4 linked regions of the Drosophila melanogaster genome follow. The protein of the gene in region 2 interacts with the protein of the main gene of each other region in a pairwise test. Each region holds a gene or a part of one and is shown on either strand. Other genes may lie near its edges.

Region 1 (4,821 bases), on a different chromosome or scaffold from region 2:
GAGGCCGGGTGGCTTAGAAAACTATCAATAGCAGTATCAGGAGGGCTTAGCGGTTAGGGGACTCACCTTTCTCATCGTTGAACGTCGCTTGATCATCACTCATCTTGACTGATTGTCGTCGTTTTGTTGGGTGCTGCCTCTGGTTGCGGTTGCTTCTTGGTCCTTCGACTCCGTCGTCGTCGTCGTCCTGGGCGAGGTCCTTAGGGCAGCTGCATGCCTTGGTCGCGCTCTCTTTTGCCAGGCTTCTCACTCGATTTTCGAACACTGGGCATATGTCTATCTCACTATTCAAGCGAGTCGATCGCTCAGTTTACCGATTATATTGTCACCGTTCCCTTTGTTAACCATGTTGTGCCTAGTATCTACTATTGCTGTTGCTATTGTTGCTGTGCTTATCACGCTTGGGGCTTTCATGATGTCTGCTGCTATTGCTATACTATGCAAATCTTATGACTACGACCGTTTCCAATAATGGCATTTGGCATCGTCCCAGCTCAGTTGCTCAGCCTGGTCGTCTACTTCTATTGTGAGCTTTGGCTTTGTTGTGCTGATTATTGCTTTACATTTTGCGATGCGATGCGTATGTTTTCTAAACGAGAGAAAGAGATTGATGTAAGTGGAAAGATTTAAGCTTATGCAAGTAGGGGGAATGAGAGTAAATTAAATCGCCTCTGCCCGCAATTGCTCTGCGTCGTGTCATGTAACGTTAATTGGCAGCGCGCTAATCCCCTACAGCTCAAAGCACCCGAACCAAGGCACGCGGCTCACACTCAGAAAAAATCTTCAGATTGATGACCTTAAAATAAAAAAAAGGTGTCCTTTGAACACATACGATTATAATTTCTCTTCATTCTGCCAATTTTTTTCAAATACCAAGCCTTTTTATTTCACTACTACTACTATACTGTGAATTAATACAAGACAATCGAAAAGAGGAACAAATGTACGGATTTGGTTCCGTGAAACAAAGATAGCAGTCAGCACTCAATGGGGACTTCCTCAAGACTGAGAAAAACCTTTCTGCCAGTGCAGTACGTATACGCAACGTAACGACTCACTCGGCCAACGTATGTGTTATGTGCGTAACGGAAGAGATAAGCACCTGAAGGGGAAGAATGCGAATTGTGGCGAGGGCCGGGAAATGAGTGCCGCTTCAAGACTTAAAGCTTGAGCGAGATAAAGTTAATTAACATTATGGGCACACCCATACACACAATCTAGCATCTTCTCCACAGACGCACACAACACAAGTAAGATACAAGAATTGATAAATGGCGCCCAACGAAAAAGCAATGAGCTTGCGTAGGCTGTGGCGTGGGTCGGGGGCTGCTCATTGCTCAGCGCTTTGTTGATGCTGCTCCCGGCATTGTTGTGCATATATGGGCATGTGTATGGGTGTGTAGGTGCTTGTGTAGGCCGGCGCTTCCTGTTGTGTTTCTCGCAAACTTCTTGACACGTCTGCGAGCAACTGGCAACTCGCAACTGGCAGCAAAAATGGAAAAGCGGTAGATGAAGGCGCCCATAAAATATTCAATATTAAGTTTCCAACACCCCGTTATGGCAGTTGATGTGATGTTTGCTGGCGGAAATTCGCTGGCAGTGGCAGGGATGTGCCATTACGCCTGGAGGCTGGGCTGTCGTGTGCCATTGGAGATCCACCTGCATTTGCTGGTCTGTCCCAGACACACACAAATCGGCAAAAACACTTTTATTACAACAATGAGAGCGGCGCTCGAGGCATTAAGCAGTGTGTTGTTGGCTTTCAATTGTTCGGTGGGGTCTTTCTCTTTGGGGCGGGGATACTCGCTTCTGTTTCTGGTTTCTGCTTTCTGGGCGTGACCAGCGGTTGGTTTTAAAGTTGGCTCATAAAAGTGCGGCTGGCAGAGCTTTGCCAGTTGGCCCCTAAAGTTGTGCTACGAATTTTGTTATCGGTCCCCTTCCGCCATTTTAGCTCTCTCCTTCGTGCGAACAGAACGAAGCGCTTCGAAACGAAGAGAAAGTGTGGCCACCTAGTTAAGTGCACATCAAGGGCTAATTTATGACCAGGACATTGCTGTTGCGTTGGAACCCAAACTTCCCCCCAAACACTAACACACGCACACGCGTATGAATATCCGATTTTACCTTTAAGCATTGGCCATCAATTTTTTTTTATTCTCCGCTGGTTGCAGTTGTCGGATGTTGGGGATGCTAGTTGGGCTTTATGTAATCGCTTGTGTGTTTGCACTCCGGCAATTTCTATTTCTATTTTCGTATTTTACTTTCTTGGGCCTGCAACACACGAACACAAAGCACATTTGCACACGTTCGCCTTCACTCGCACTTTAACATCGACTTCCCAACACTGGCTCAATCACCATTCCCGATCCAGTTGTTTTTTCTCCTGCTGCTGTTTTATTTGATTTTATTTTACATTAATTACATTTTTATTTAGTCGCAACTGTGCAACAATGTGACTGTGAGTGGGTGGGGATGTTGAAACGGAACCAGCAACAAAAACAGAACAAAGCAAAAAACTTCGGGCACGCACATTGTTTGACACACGCACACACACACATGCAAAAGCCTACTGGCAGTCTAAGAAGTGTTATTACAATTTACTGTTGATTTCTTTCGCGGCCCAAAGGGTGAGTGCGAAAGAGATAGCACGGTGGCCTCTCTGGCACCGCACGTGTGCCTGTGTGTGTGTCAGCAAAAGCGTGCGAAAGAGCGCGAAAATGTAGGTTAGTTTCCGTCGTGGCCTCTCCCCCTCCCTTAAGCAACTCAGTAGCAGCAACAACAATATGCAGCACACATTTCACTCTATTTTTGGGCGCTGAAGAATTTTCATCGCACCGAATAATGCACTTGTGATGGTAACGCGCTTCACTGTGCGGCTGTAGGGGTGCGAGTTCCGCGCTATGTTCCATGCCCTTTCAGGCTTTTTACTGCCTTTCACTTTTCACTTTTCACCATATTCCTTGATTTTTTCACTTCATACTAGGACACTATGACACTGGGCCACTGTAAATACGTGCGCTTGCATGGCGACTGCTCGGTTCTAAGGTTTGTCGGAGACTGAGCTCGGCTAACGGGTTTCCTTTCCGTTTGACGTAATCTGCAGGGCGACCACGATGCAGAGCGATGAAAAAATACACACGCGAACTTCCCCCTATTCTCTCGAAAAGGACTCGTGCGGGAAATGCTCTCACGCTCGCCTTCGTGAGCAGAGTCCCCCTGCGCCCTCACGTTTGCTTGTAGGTCAGCCGGCATAAACAAATGCCGTGCCACATGCAACACGAACGACGAACTTCCCCATATTTCTCCGATTTAAATTCCGAATGCTCCGCTGGTGCACCGCGGGGCAAAGGACTACCTCCGCTGTCTCTTCTTCGGAAGGAATATGTCAAAATGATTTTGCTTGAATATGGGCCACTGGCTAACAAAACCAGCAGCTGTTAATCAGTCTATTATGGTGTAAGGATGTCTTCCCCGCCGTGCCCACTGCGATTTCCGCCTCGGGCTGGCACACTCAGCGTATAAATAATGCCAAGCTCGTAACGTATACGCAACGTTTGCTTGGAGAGATCGCTAGCTGGGTTTCTTTCCCAATTACAGATAAGCTCAATGCCCCGGACTTAGATTGATAAGCCTGCGGCTCGACTGGCAGTCTGGACTCAGTTCTGCTCGAGCTTTCGTCAGAGTCGGAAGCAAATCCCAAGTCGCATTCGAAAGCACTCCGATAACCTTATCAAGGCGAAACGGAAGCCAGCGAAGGCAAAATGCGGTTGCCTTTTTTAGGAGTATCGCTAATCCTTCTGCTCTCCGTGACCTTCGGAATCGGCCAGTCCAGCTATGAACTGGCTACCAAGCAGATACTTGATAGAGCCAAAGACCGCATGCGCCACGTGTGGAGTCTGAACCGCAGGATCTTTGTGCAGCTCACGGCCAAAGGAAAGTCACCTCTGGGCGGACAGGTTCTCAACTCCAAGCTGGAGGTAGAGGCGGAGACCTATCGACTATTTTACGACTTAGCGGGCAATCTCAGCGTTGTGTCAGTGGCTGAATTGAATGACCCACTTCTTCGTAGGCGCGTGCAGCGAATGGCCAAGTTGCAGCTGCAGGGACTGCGGCCAAAGGACTACGAGCAGGCCAAGGACCTTCTACGTCAGATCCATAACTTTGTCAACGGACCCCTGGTCTGCCCTTACGAGGACTGCTCCGCCCGTGGTTCGCTGGCCATGTACCCGCAGATCATGAACAAAAACATGCACACCAAGCTATACGAGGATCTGGTCATCAACTGGAAGGCCTGGCGCAGGGCCATTAACGAGAAGGACGTGGCCAAGAACACGTTCATCGGCTACGTTAGGCTTCTCCGGATCGCTGCCACTTACAACGGGCATGTGACGCCCTCGCGCACGTGGTACCTTAACTACGACACGGAGAACTTTCAAGCTGAAATGGAGGCGGTCGTGTGGGAGATAATGCCGCTATATCGAGAACTGCACGCCTATTTGCGTCGCGAGGTGCAAGCTGCCTACCCAAAGGCGGACACAAAGAGCGATGGCGCCATCTCCGCTCCCATTATGGACCAGATCCTGTCGCAGGACTGGTATCCTCACCAGTTCTTTCGCACACCGCACCAGGGCAGACAGCATCAGTTGCCCTCCGTTCATCGGCGTCTGGAGGAGGTCCTGGTGACGCCCGTCAAAATCAACCGCAAAGCTGCCGAGTTTTTTGAATCGTTGGGCTTAATGGTTATGCCGAAGTAAGTATATATGCTCTACAGGTTTCAAAATTGTAAGCAGGTATTTCCATTTTAAACAGTAATTCCAAAAA
Region 2 (5,348 bases):
GAGATACTTTCGATTTCTTTGGCCACGCAATATCTGCATACAATGCAATCGATTCCCAGCACTCACCTCCACTCATTAGTGATGCAATCCAGCAGATGGAAGCCATCCACAAAAGCTGTCGTCCACCTGGAGCCATGGTTCTGGTTCTACTTACGCCCTGAGTAACCAGATTATTCGAAAAGCGCTGTTCGGAATGGATGTGGCAATGACAAGCGTGGCTGACTTTCACATCGTAGTGCGCATGCGTGCGCCTCGAAACTCGACTGACAACTGGTCGCTCGAAGGTTCGTGTTCGGTTTTGGCCATCGTCTTGGCCAAGTGTGGGGAGTTTCCCACTGCGCTCCACAGCTTCGTTCAGCTCCCCAGCTTTATCGGTGGTTTTGTTTTGACCTGGAACTGGTTTCCGGCACGGCTCAGCTGAGTCAGATATGCAGTAAGGTACTACATACCCCCAAAAAACCCCTTCCCTGAGCAAATCAAACTTCAATGGCTTTGTGTTTTTTTTTCAAGACGACTCTCTTTTGCTTTATTCCAAGACTTCGTCATCGTATCATCATCTAGTTATGTTGTATAAAAACAGTTACTTGTTTTCTATTTTTAGATGTTTTTTGTTTTACTCTTGTTAATATTCCTGACCGGGTTAAAAGTTTTCTGAATTTTTTCATCTTGCCGTGTGTAGCTTAAAATATACTGAAGTAAAGATTCGATTTGCATTTAACAACTTGTTGCATGTTGCACTTTGAAATGGATTGCAGTGTGCGTGTGAGTGTGGTGTGTGCTCGTGTCGAGTGTCAAGTGTTGAGTTCTGAGTAATAGTAGTATTAGATAAATAAGGCAATATATTGTGCTTCCTCCGATCAGCCTAGGTACTAGTGGTTATGGGCACCTTATTCAAACTAAAACCCCCCCGACCGTCTATTTCCCGGGGAGGCGTATCATCCTGGAAGCTTCAAAACGCATTAACTAGAAACACTGGGTTTGTTATTTGAATGTTTCTTCATATTTCAGATATCATTTTGGGTTGTTTGTTCGTTTGGGTGGTTTATATCGCTGATAGTTCATAAGCAGAAAGTTGTGGTGGTGGCGATGGTTAAGTTATATAAATTCGCATTAAACAATTTGAGTGAATGAACTTAATGTTTCTCTGTTATTAGCCTAACTCTCGATAACTTGCAATAATATTGATAACTCATAACTGATAAATAAGTAAGTAACGAACGATAGATATGTATAACGATAAATATTTTGTGATAGTAGGATATATATTTGGCTCTCAGTTAAATGATCCCTAACAATAGTTTGTTATGGGTTTACCTCTCTCTCTCCTGGTCCTGCGAGATTTCTTGAACGAAAAACATTGTAACTCACAAAACTGGCTAAAATTCATATTCATAATCAAATTGAACTCGCGGGTGCAGGGCTAACGAATACAGCCCGGCTACCCATCAACATCGTCTTCGTCCTCCCTACATCATAAATCATACATCATACATCCTCATTTCGATTCCGATCTCGATCTCGATCTGGTAATCATCTCTCTCTGGGGGTTCTTCTCTTTAGTTCTTCAACGGACAGCGATATAAAAATAGACACGGCTTGTTTGTTGTTTTTAAGTTTTTTTTGTTGATTTTATAGGTGTTTTAAATAAAATAGATAGCATATGTTTTATAAATTTTACGTGTAAAATTTAACAGTAAATCAACTAGAAAACTACGCGTCAGTTCTTGCCGTGACAGTGAACGTGATCGTAAGTATCCCTAACTATGATGGACAGATACATGGTAAATGGTTCTGATCGCTACCAAATGTTGCTGAAGAAGTTCTTTTGAGGTTCAGTTTGATCGGATGTTGCTGATCTGGTTGGTGGTGTTGTTCTTGGTACAAGGTACTTGGTGATGGTTAACAAAAGAGATTACAAGATACTGAGAATCTACATATGTAAACGAGCGTTTCTTTTAATTACGTTTATTATTACTGATTTGACTGATTGATTTAACGTTCTGATTCTGGCTGTAAAATGGATGTTGAGTTAGAAGTTAGGATGTGATCGGATGTGCCTTAGGCGGCCTCCTCCTCCTCCTCTTCACCCTTGCCGGTGAGCATCTCGATCAGGGCGGCGGTATCGATCTGGTTCTTGTCGTCGATCACCATCTGATCGTAGGCATCATCAACCTCCTTCATGGTGAACTTGTCACCGAAGTTCATGAGCATTTCGCGGAATTTGTCACCGTCGATGAGACCATCGTTATCGAATGTTTTGAAGGCAGCAATAACAACTTCGTCTTCATCGTTGGCACCGGAGGTGGCCATGCGGTTGGCGAACAGGGTCAGCAACTGGGTGAAGTTGATCGGACCCGAGGCCTCGCCCAGCATGGCGTCCAACTCCTTGTCGTTGGCGATCTTGCCGACGGAGTCGAAGGCAGCGCGCAGATCGTTCTTGCCAATAATACCGTCCTTGTCGGCATCCATGAGTTGGAAGGCCTATCGATCCCGCACAGAGACAGAGAGAGATAGAAAGAAAGAGTGTGTTGGTGACTTGGTCCTTGACAAGTGCGATAGATGGTAGGATGACAGGATGATGGGATGGGTCTCGAGTGATCCGACATATGATGCGATATATGAGTAACGCCCAAAACTCACCTCCTTGAACTCGGCGATCTGCTTCTGGGAGAACACAGAGAAGACCGAGGAGCCAGCGCGCTTCGACTTCCTGGAGCCACGGGATCCGCCCGACGCTCTCTTCGAACCAGTGGCAGATGCGGCCGGGGCAGGAGTGGCAGCTGGTGCCGGGGTTGCTGCCTCGGATGCGGCCTCAGAAGCGGTTTCGGAAGTACCACCCTCTTCCTTGGTCTTCTTCTTCTTAACCTTCTTCTTCTCATCGGCCTGAGGAGAGAAAAGAGGGATTTATTAGTAGGGACTCGTGGCAGAAAGGGGGTATCTACTCGGTCATTAGTCGTTATAGTCCGTCTTTAGCTGTCACTTGAAAGTTCCGATTCCGGAAGTTATACTATTCGTTTTAGGGATCTTAGTAAGTTATCCGCGTTGAAGGATCTTCAATTGGAATTATATGGGTAGAAAGTTATCCCTTAATAGGGATTTAAGGGATGTAAGGTATGCTTTTCAAAAGGCCTACCCGACTAGGCCAGAAAATATGTATCTGCAGGCGAAAGTTTTCCACTCATTCTAAAAATATACCGGACGCATATTACGTAAGCTCTCCGCCGTGCGCCACTCGCTGTCTCGCTCGCTCCCCGGCACGGATATCAGATTACATTACTGACGCGTAACACTCGGATCGGATCGATCCATTTATAGAACTTTCTGCACTATTCTCACTGCGTATGTGAAGAAGGTGAATCGGGATCACCATGATTTAGAGTTATGGTTCACTTCATATTCATATCCTCGGGGTCATTCTCGAATGCAAACGATTCACTGCACTGATCGGCATTATCCTTGCTGCATATATCCAGGCACTGGGGTCCAGTTCGATTCGGTTCGGTTCAGTTCGGTTCAGTTGGATTGTAGTGATATTCCGGGACGAGTCCTTACCATGGTGCTGAACTTTGATGTGTTGTCTAATCGAGTCGAGCCGTCAGAGCACACTGAATCTCTGGCTGATTTTATCGCCAAGACAATGATGTTTTAAGAGCTCGGAGGAGCTCTTCTTCTTCCAAGCATTGGGGCCGCTCGTGGAGGTTCGGCCACCTTCGGGGATCTTCGGGCGCCATTCGCTGTATCCGTATCTGCAATATTCGTGCTGCCTTTTTTAGTATCTGCAAGGCGAGGTCCGCCCAGGAGATCGGCGGGGGCGGGCAGCTACAACTATATAGATATAGCCATGGCTATAGCCTATAGCCTATGGTGTAGCTGTATCCGAGGTGTTTACTCATCCATCGGGCGCTGCTCTAATCAAAAATCTAATTTTAAAGGCAGAGAAATTGCTTTGGCTTTGGCTTTTGGGCAGCAGAAGCCTATACATATGTTCGGAATTTATTTCGGGGCGATTCGGATTGGTTCATATAGCGGCTCTCTGTTGTGGATACATTTCCCCATCCTCGGATTCTGTTTTGTTTTCTTTTATTTTGCTCTGCTTCACTACTCGGTGCGTCTCTCTGCCAGAGGCCACCTCCGAAAGGTGTCCTCTTGCGCTGAAATCACCTACATTTTCCTTGGCGGCGGACAGCATACATATATGCCAACATATAGCATATGTATGTATTCTATTCACGCCTATATACTCGATGTTTTGCTCGCCTACGTTCCTTTTTCTGTTTTCGAAATGCCCCGCACATTGTGCAATATGAAGAGCGCCGAGAATTCCAAATCTATAGATCTGTATATACATACACGGCGATCGGGCGGATTTCGTGTCGCATAAATATCCAACGAACCCGATATTGGACCAGAGTTATTTCGGCAACAAATGTGGAATAAACATCTGACTTTATCTATATGCTAGTCATCCATGGACATTGCATAACAATGGGAAGGCTGTAGGATTTCCATTTCAGATAAACTTTGGGTACCACGTCATGATACATTAACCTTGTTACTAAAAATATTAAACACTGCAGTATTCAAGCTATTTAAGCCATTTCAGTAAATAAATAGTAAAATTGTGACAACTTCAATCGACAAATTGGATTCTCAAAGCCTTATTTACACATTTTTAGTTTTCCAAATAAGCAGGAAATTTCAATTTAGTTTCAAGTGTTACAAAATATTATTATTCATATAGTTTACATCTATTTTTTTTAGAAATATTCATTCTGCAAATTATTCGACTTTTTGCTTTCTGAAGGAAATAAGCCAAAACATTTTTCAAAACAATATTTACATGAGGTCATCTTTGCCACCTGAATTCATTACCCTCGCTGGCTAATATTATAATTAATGAAGGCTCTATGCAAATTTATGAAACGGAAAATATCTCAATTAACGATGGGATCCGTGCGAGAAAGCCTTCATAATTCATCGATCAGACATAATGAAAATCGATTTAGGCTGCAGTCATCTTCGTGCTCCATTGAAAGTGATTTTCGGCGAAAACTCTCATGGCGCAGCCATTTTGGCACGTAACCAGGCGACATTTTGGCCTGGGGCCAACCAAAACAAGAAGATATAGAGGAAAACTGCCCACAATCTAATACGCAAAGTAGCATTGAATATACGCGAATGTAAAAATAGAACAAAGTGCAAAAAACGAGCAAGACGCAGTCGAAGGAATGTTAAAACTAATGAAAACTGCGGCAAATGTATTCAATTTTCCAAGGTGCAGAATGTTTCTGGGAATATTAATGGTTTTGACACTTTGGAAGCATTGTTTATAAAGGGTTAACAATTAA
Region 3 (3,889 bases), on a different chromosome or scaffold from region 2:
AATTATGTAAATATGTAAAGAGCATGATTTAATTTTGCTTTCCAGGAATATGATATTACTAAATTGCCTAGTAATATGCCTGTGCATATTTTCCTGTGGTGCCCAGGACTCTTCCTTGGACAAATTGATATCGGACATCTTTAAAACGGACGAAACACCCAAACCATCATCCCCTCCCCCGCCAGTGGTGAACCCCAAGGATTCGTCCGGTAGCACGGGATCCGAAAACGGAGGATCGAGTTCAACGCAGTACCAGTCCTGTGGCGATCAAAAGGAGTGTGTTCCTCGCTGGTTGTGCGCCAATGATACGATTAACACCAGTGGCGATGGTATCATTGACATTCGACTTGGTACGGACGCCGAATGCAAGAACTATTTGGATCTTTGCTGTGATCTGCCCAACAAGGTAACACATACATAAATACCAATAAGCTTTGATTACTTAAATTAAACTATAATTTTATTTGTTAAGAGAAAAGATCCGATTTTCGAGTTTAAGCCTGATCATCCCGAGGGCTGCGGTTACCAAAATCCCAACGGCGTTGGCTTTAAGATCACTGGAGCTGTCAACCAGGAGGCCGAATTCGGCGAATTCCCCTGGATGCTGGCCATTCTCCGGGAAGAAGGCAACCTTAACCTGTACGAATGTGGAGGAGCATTGATAGCTCCCAATGTGGTTCTGACCGCGGCGCATTGCGTTCACAACAAACAGCCCAGTAGCATTGTTGGTAAGTGTACATGCCATCTATGCCATCTATGAGATCTAATTATGAACTGGCATTTAGTGAGAGCTGGCGAATGGGATACGCAAACGCAGACTGAGATCAGAAGGCACGAAGACCGATATGTCAAGGAAATAATCTACCATGAGCAGTTCAACAAGGGATCGCTCTATAACGATGTGGCTGTCATGCTGTTGGAAAGTCCATTCACCCTCCAGGAGAACATTCAGACCGTTTGCCTGCCCAATGTGGGTGATAAATTCGATTTCGATCGCTGCTATGCCACCGGCTGGGGCAAGAACAAGTTCGGCAAGGATGGGGAATATCAGGTTATCCTGAAGAAGGTCGACATGCCCGTGGTGCCCGAGCAGCAGTGCGAGACGAATCTGCGCGAAACTCGACTCGGCAGGCATTTCATTCTGCACGACAGCTTCATTTGCGCCGGCGGTGAGAAGGACAAGGACACCTGCAAGGGTGATGGTGGCTCCCCACTGGTGTGTCCAATTGCTGGCCAGAAGAACCGCTTCAAGTCCGCCGGCATTGTTGCCTGGGGCATCGGATGCGGCGAGGTGAACATTCCCGGAGTGTACGCCAGCGTGGCCAAGCTTCGTCCGTGGATCGACGCCAAGTTGAAGATTTGGAGTATTGACCCCAGGCACTATACACCCTAAGAGCAAAATTGTCACTTGAATTTGTGGGTTTTAATCTTCATGCTTCACAATGCTCTCACTTAATATATGCCCAATATGTTAATACTCAAAATTAAAAAAAAAAAAAATCTTTTTATTTTAAGCTGAAAAAATATTTTCGGAACAGTGGAAAAGGAATAGGCTAACAAAAATTGAATTCAGTTGGCAGCAATTTTGAGCTTATCGATGTCAATTTCAGTCGGAGCACCTGGTCACACTGTCGTCGGTGTGCATGGGGAATAAGAACAAGAAAGATTAGATTCGTGCAGGCCAACGTATTTGCTCTAAATAGAATATCTGCAGAAACATGGACAACTTCGGACTGGGCGGATCGGATCTAAGCAAGGGGCAGATATTCCAGGTACTGGTTCGCCTGTCTGTGGCCTCGCTGATCACATATTATTCGGTGAAATGGATGATGAACCAGATGGATCCGACCAGTAAAAACAAGAAAAAGGCCAAAGTTCTGGCTGAGGAGCAGCTTAAGAGGTTTATATTAGACTCATATAGCATATATTGTACATGTGTAAACCTTTTCCATGCAGGCTAGCCGAGCAGGAGGGCTTCAAGCTAAGAGGGCAAGAGTTTAGCGACTACGAGCTTATGATTGCGTCACATCTTGTTGTTCCCGCCGACATAACAGTCAGTTGGGCCGATATCGCCGGTCTGGATTCAGTCATTCAGGAGCTCCGGGAATCGGTGGTGCTGCCAATCCAGCACAAGGATCTCTTCAAGCATTCGAAGCTGTGGCAGGCGCCCAAAGGCGTCCTGCTCCATGGACCACCGGGCTGTGGAAAGACGCTGATAGCGAAGGCGACGGCAAAAGAGGCGGGAATGCGCTTTATCAACTTGGACGTCGCCATTCTTACCGACAAGTGGTACGGGGAATCCCAGAAATTGACTTCTGCTGTCTTCTCGCTTGCATCGCGAATCGAGCCATGCATTATTTTTATTGACGAAATAGACTCATTTTTGCGATCTCGAAACATGAACGACCACGAGGCTACCGCCATGATGAAGACCCAGTTTATGATGCTGTGGGATGGCCTCAGCACGAACGCCAACTCGACGGTGATTGTGATGGGTGCCACGAACAGGCCGCAGGATTTAGACAAGGCCATTGTGCGCCGCATGCCAGCCCAATTCCACATTGGTCTGCCCTCGGAGACCCAACGAAAAGACATCCTGAAGCTGATCCTCCAATCGGAGGAAGTAAGTCAGGATGTCGACTTGAATCGCTTGTCCAAGCTCACAAATGGCTTCTCGGGCTCAGACCTGCGGGAAATGTGCCGGAATGCTTCAGTTTACCGAATGAGGCAGCTCATCACGTCCAGAGATCCGTCAGCTACAGCGCTTGATCGCAACAACGTCCGCATCACCATGGACGATTTGCTGGGCTCGCACTTAAAAATTAAGGAATCAAAGATGCACACGAGCAGCCTATTCTTAGAGAATAGAATCGAATTAGATTAAGCTGACCATTGTTTATTCAAGCTCCCGATATATCCAACTTAAATTTGTATAATAAACTTTTTATTTGCCTTTCGAGAGGAGCTCCAATGTTATGTGTTAATTAACCCTGTTCTCTGCATTCCAAAATGGGTATCCGGAAAACGTAGTTTTGGTAGTCTTGAAAACAGCAACGGATACTGCAGGAAATTACACAATCCATAGCATTTCCGTAAAGCGGAGCTCAATGCACTTTAATTATTACATTTACGGGCTTCTGTGAAATATTCACCTAGAGAAATTTCAAACATTTATAAAGATATTGCACTTGTACACTTCTTCAAACACACACACAACTTGCGTCACGCGACCGTGGGCTTTCAATCGTAAAAAAAAATATAAGTAAACTTGTGCAGTTTTATTCTCTTTTAAAAAGGTCGTTTATTTCTGACGGCATTTCAAAGCTACACATTTGTATATCTAATTAAAAATGAATAAAAACATGCATACATTTTAAATAATCAAACCAAAACAAATTAGTTCTTGATGTTTTTGTATAATTTCTTAATTTAAGAAAAATATAGAGTGTACAAACTTCAAGCGAAGAAATTTGCTTCTGCACATTTTAATTATGTTTCGTGCTCATATAAATACTTTCTTCGATTGGCTCAAATCATTTCTGTTGAAGGCGTTGATTAAACCACTTCAAATCCAAGCGAGACTATATACTTAACAAAAAATGAACCCAATGGTAAGCTATATTTCCAATTTGTCTTTTTGATAGGAGATATTTTGTATGTACATACTTCATTTACGCGCATCCTTTCTATTTCAGTTAACTTTGATTCCTGGATACCTATTCATAACCTTAATAATTATTGGAAGTACTGCACACAGTAATTCCTATGCTGTGAATAAAACCAATAGTGTCGAAAGTGCCGAGTGGAGCTATCCTGAATACGGAAAAGGATCTACTCACAATACCGGAAGAAGATCGGAAAAGCTGGATCTGCAACATTATAATCGGGA
Region 4 (4,032 bases), on a different chromosome or scaffold from region 2:
CACTGGGCGACCTAAATTGCGATTCCACCTGTCATCAGCCGAGCTCTTCTTTGCCTTACCTATCATTATAGCCGATTTTGCCGCCCGTTTGTTATTGAACAATTGCGTGGGATGCCATTGGCATAACGCACAACAATGGGGAAGGACAACCAAACGATGTGTGTAATGACAGCCTGCGTTTCGGATTTATTGTATTTATTATATGCGACACTTGTTGCTGCGAATAAAGTTGCGGGTAAGTCAGTTCTCCCATCATTAAATCGATTCTCATCATATGCACTTTGTGTAACAATAATTATATAATAATATCAATGATATTACTCACTGTCTATGCTATAAGTGTATCAAGTTTAAAATGAGTCGCAAGACTATCAATAACTATCAATTAGAGTATATATCTAATGATAGTTTAATTTAAATATAACTAGCATCTAGATTTCACCCTTCATCGAAAACAACATTCAGCTTGGGTATAATTGTTTTTTTTTTTTTGTTCAAATTTTTTATTTGTTTTGCAAAGAAACCTGAGTGCCACGCCCCTCCTGGGCCGTTGAATGGGTGAGTGGGTGGTATTGGGGTGTGCATGAGTGGGCGTGGGCGTAGGCATGGGCGTTGGTCGATCAGGCTGTTTTTTTTTTTTTTTTTTGTAAAAAAAACATAGTAACTAATCAGCCGGATAAGCGAATGACTAAACCAGCCGCTTCAGTTGATTCCGGAGCCGCAGCAGTCATCCAATCCGTAACTCCTCCGCATCTGTTACCTAATAGGCGGGAGCAGCATAGCCGCCATGTCCGGCTGGACCGGCGCTATAGTGCTGATGGCTTGGAGCGGGACCATAGGGACCCTCACGCTCGCCGGCGATGTTGGCAAGAGCGGACAGACCCTGGTTGCCGCTCTGGAGCAGCTGATAGCCAGCGCTGGCGGCAGCGGAATCAGCTCCCGAAGCGTAGGCGGGCAGAGCACGGCCACCGTCATGGGGTCCAGGACCATGGGGTCCAGCACCGTGTCCACCGTGTCCGTGTCCGCTGTGTCCGTGTCCATGGCCACCGTGTCCATGGCCGTGTCCGTGGGACTGCGAGCCCTGTCCGTAGCCCTGCTTGTTCTCGTTGACAAAGTACTTCTCTGCTGGGGGCTTGACCACATTGACGAACACGGGCTCAACCTTGACGCGACGTGGGTGGTGCTTGACGTAGACCTTGCGGAGAACGATTGCTGGGGGCTTGTGGAGCACCACGGGAGCGGGCTTAACCACCAATGGTGGATGGTTCACCAGCACCTTGGTGGGCGGACGCTTGACAATGATGGGAGCGGGACGATGGATGAGGATCTCGCCCTTGTTCTGCGGGTAGGTGATCGATGAGGTCAGGGTGTTACCCTTGGTGTTCACCGGCTTGTACGGAATGTTCTGGTCGGATCCGTAGCTGCTCTGGCCAGCCTGTGCCACACCGGCGGCATCGGCTCCGGATTCGAGAGCACCAGCACCGGCGTTAGCACCACCGTACTCGCCACCAGCTCCACCGGCACCGCCGGCAGCTGCTGCGGCCGCTGAAGCGGCATCAGCACCGCCATCGGAGGCACCGCTTCCGGACTCGGGTCCATAGCCCTGGGAACTGCCGTAGTTGGCGCTTGCACAGGCCTAAAAGTAAATTGAGGGGGGGGGGGTGGATTAGAATTGGATCGACATATACATATACTTAAAATAAGTCTAGCATCGATAGATAGCTTGATTCCGTTTCAAGTAATTTAAAGGAAAGTCAATTTGCTTTTCATGTACGATTTACATGGCACAAACGAAAGCAGTCAGAATTGATAGACTTGGTTTTCTTGGGATTAATCCTAAGATTTCGAGCTTGAACACTTACGATCAGGCAGGCGGCCAGCGCCCAAATGTAGGTCGATCTCGTCATCTTGTCTCCCAGTTGCAGTTCCAGTTGCTCTTCGGCTTCTGGTGTGCTCCCGCTTGGACTGTCTGCTGTCTTCTGCTGCCCTCCATTGGTGGCCGACTACTTTAAATATGCTCCGGACGCGTCTCCGGCTCCGGGTACGTGACATTTGGATTGATGCCAACTCCGGTGCCGGCTGTTCCGCTCCGGGCCCACGCGATGCGAACGAAACATGGCCAAATGTTGATAGATCGCACGCATCGCTGCCAGCGCATATCACGGCGTCTCTTCCACTTACGTAGAAGCCACAACCCGAAAACCCCACTGCCCACTGCCCAGTTGCCATTGCCCGTTTTACAATAACAACGAACACATTGCCACCGAATCGGAATCAACAGCCGGGCTGTGAATCTTTGCCGCATATCGAGGTCCGAACGTCTGTTCAGATAGCGAAAATAGTTCCGCATTGGCAGACACAAGACTCCGGGAGTCGGAATAAGAGGTAATCCGAGGTGTAAGTGGATAGGGGGAAATGATTAGCCACCCAGCTGTAGTCCTTGAATTTCACACGGATTGCGCAGATTCGATTGTCTTTCTATTGTATTGTATTGTATTGTATTGTATTGTATTGTATTGTATTGTATTTCTTACTATAAATGTGATTAGATTGTTAGAAGAGTGGCTATCTTCACATGACCATTTTTAATTTAGAAAATCCATGTAACTGATTAAACCATCAGTTTAAAGTACCATATAAAAATGTATACTTAATAATTGCCAGATAAAATAAATCTCTAGTTGCAAAGAGATTTGAAGATGAAATATGGATCTTTAGCTATTCCAATTAGGAATTCAAAGGCTTACAAACACCTAAAAAGATTTCCAATTCTTCAATTATTATGTTGTTATGTTTTAAAACAATCTTATGAAACTCTAATATGAATTTGGCGTTTCAAAAGAAAAGGTTTAAATACGTATTTAATGCATTAAAAGTGCTATATTCTTTGTTTAAAAGAAAAGAGGCCGTAAAATTATAGTTGCTCCATTAATTCATAGTTATGTTATTATTTATTATTCATTCCGGAATCAACAATATGTTGATAAAGATGACCTTTTGATCCCATTCTTTGCAATTAAACGATAACTGGAATAAGATAGCTACCATCACAAGAGTGTGAAATAATTTCATGCATGATAATGCTATCCAATATCTTTCGAATTGTATCTCATAAAATGCGTACCATGTTTATGCATATTTATAGAATAGTTAAAATACTTGTATGACCGTAGAGATTTCAATTACAAACTTATTTATACTCGTTCATAATTTTATGTTCATACTTTATACCATTTTCCCCTTTATTATTTATTTTTGAAGAAAACTAGATATAATTTTTTGTTCTCTCATGCATTCGTATATATTTATATATTCATAAATATGTGCTTAATCTGTGTGCTTCATTGCCACTCAGGTAGCCCCTTCCGGTCGAAAATAATTGATGACAAAACGTTTACGTTTCAAGTATTTTTTTTTCATTTATTTGCGCTCAGTAGTTCGGCAAAGAAAAAAAAAAACAAAAATTTAAATTAAACCAGCTGTCGCAGCTGAGGAGCAACCCATGCCCAGGATGAGCACCTTAGTAGTTGGGCTGGCCATAGGGCGCGGGGCTGTTGTACAGTGGAGCCTCGTTGCCGTAGGCATTGCCATCGGCAGAGGAGGCGGCACCGGCGGCGGAGGAAGCAGCTCCGGCACTACCATAACCCTGGGGCTGGCTGTACTCCCTGGGCTGGCTGTAGACGGGTGCAACCACCGGGGCCAGTGGAGCCTCGATCTTCTTGCCGGGCTTGTAGACCTTCACGTAGACGGGGTTGAGGCTCAGCGGAGTGGGCACCTTGTTGATCACCTCCTGTTGGTAGATGACCGAGGGCTTGATCTTGTAGATCACCGGATTGCCGCGCACCACAGTCGGTGGGCCGCTGTTCACATGGGCTGGTGGTGCACCAGGCTGGTGGACAATGATTGGTGGCAGGGGCTGGGTGGCGATCACCTGGTGATTGTTGTGGCCCGATGGCACCAACAGGGAGCGGAACAGATGCTGGTCAACGAACTGTGGCGACACCACCTTGATCTTGCCCTGACGGATATTGC

Evidence for each region.
Region 1: the proteins of Mlc2 (region 2) and NaCP60E interact in a two-hybrid assay, tested with the Drosophila melanogaster proteins (one large-scale study listed by BioGRID).
Region 3: the proteins of Mlc2 (region 2) and nmd interact in a two-hybrid assay, tested with the Drosophila melanogaster proteins (one large-scale study listed by BioGRID).
Region 4: the proteins of Mlc2 (region 2) and Cp38 interact in a two-hybrid assay, tested with the Drosophila melanogaster proteins (one large-scale study listed by BioGRID).

What each region holds. Positions count from the first base shown.
Region 1 is NT_033778.4:24,889,852-24,894,672, reverse strand, and holds the start of NaCP60E (Na channel protein 60E), read right to left. Parts: upstream 3,060-4,821; 5' UTR 2,836-3,059; intron 2,390-2,835; 5' UTR 2,125-2,389; intron 590-2,124; 5' UTR 104-589; coding exon 67-103; intron 1-66. Other genes in the region: Ance-5, read left to right, coding at 3,762-4,750. UniProt on the Drosophila melanogaster protein: Mediates the voltage-dependent sodium ion permeability of excitable membranes. Plays a role in processing of olfactory information during the olfactory avoidance response.
Region 2 is NT_033777.3:30,170,932-30,176,279, forward strand, and holds Mlc2 (myosin light chain 2), read right to left. Parts: upstream 3,621-5,348; 5' UTR 3,556-3,620; coding exon 3,553-3,555; intron 2,884-3,552; coding exon 2,641-2,883; intron 2,482-2,640; coding exon 2,059-2,481; 3' UTR 507-2,058; downstream 1-506. Other genes in the region: Rsod (uncharacterized protein), read right to left, coding at 67-136.
Region 3 is NT_033779.5:10,301,666-10,305,554, reverse strand, and holds nmd (no mitochondrial derivative), read left to right. Parts: upstream 1-1,607; 5' UTR 1,608-1,718; coding exon 1,719-1,900; intron 1,901-1,956; coding exon 1,957-2,884; 3' UTR 2,885-3,382; downstream 3,383-3,889. Other genes in the region: CG5390 (uncharacterized protein), read left to right, coding at 50-406, 473-728, 786-1,393; CG13138 (uncharacterized protein), read left to right, coding at 3,600-3,611, 3,696-3,889.
Region 4 is NC_004354.4:8,479,789-8,483,820, reverse strand, and holds Cp38 (chorion protein 38), read right to left. Parts: upstream 1,985-4,032; 5' UTR 1,908-1,984; coding exon 1,863-1,907; intron 1,637-1,862; coding exon 761-1,636; 3' UTR 510-760; downstream 1-509. Other genes in the region: Cp36 (chorion protein 36), read right to left, coding at 3,521-4,032.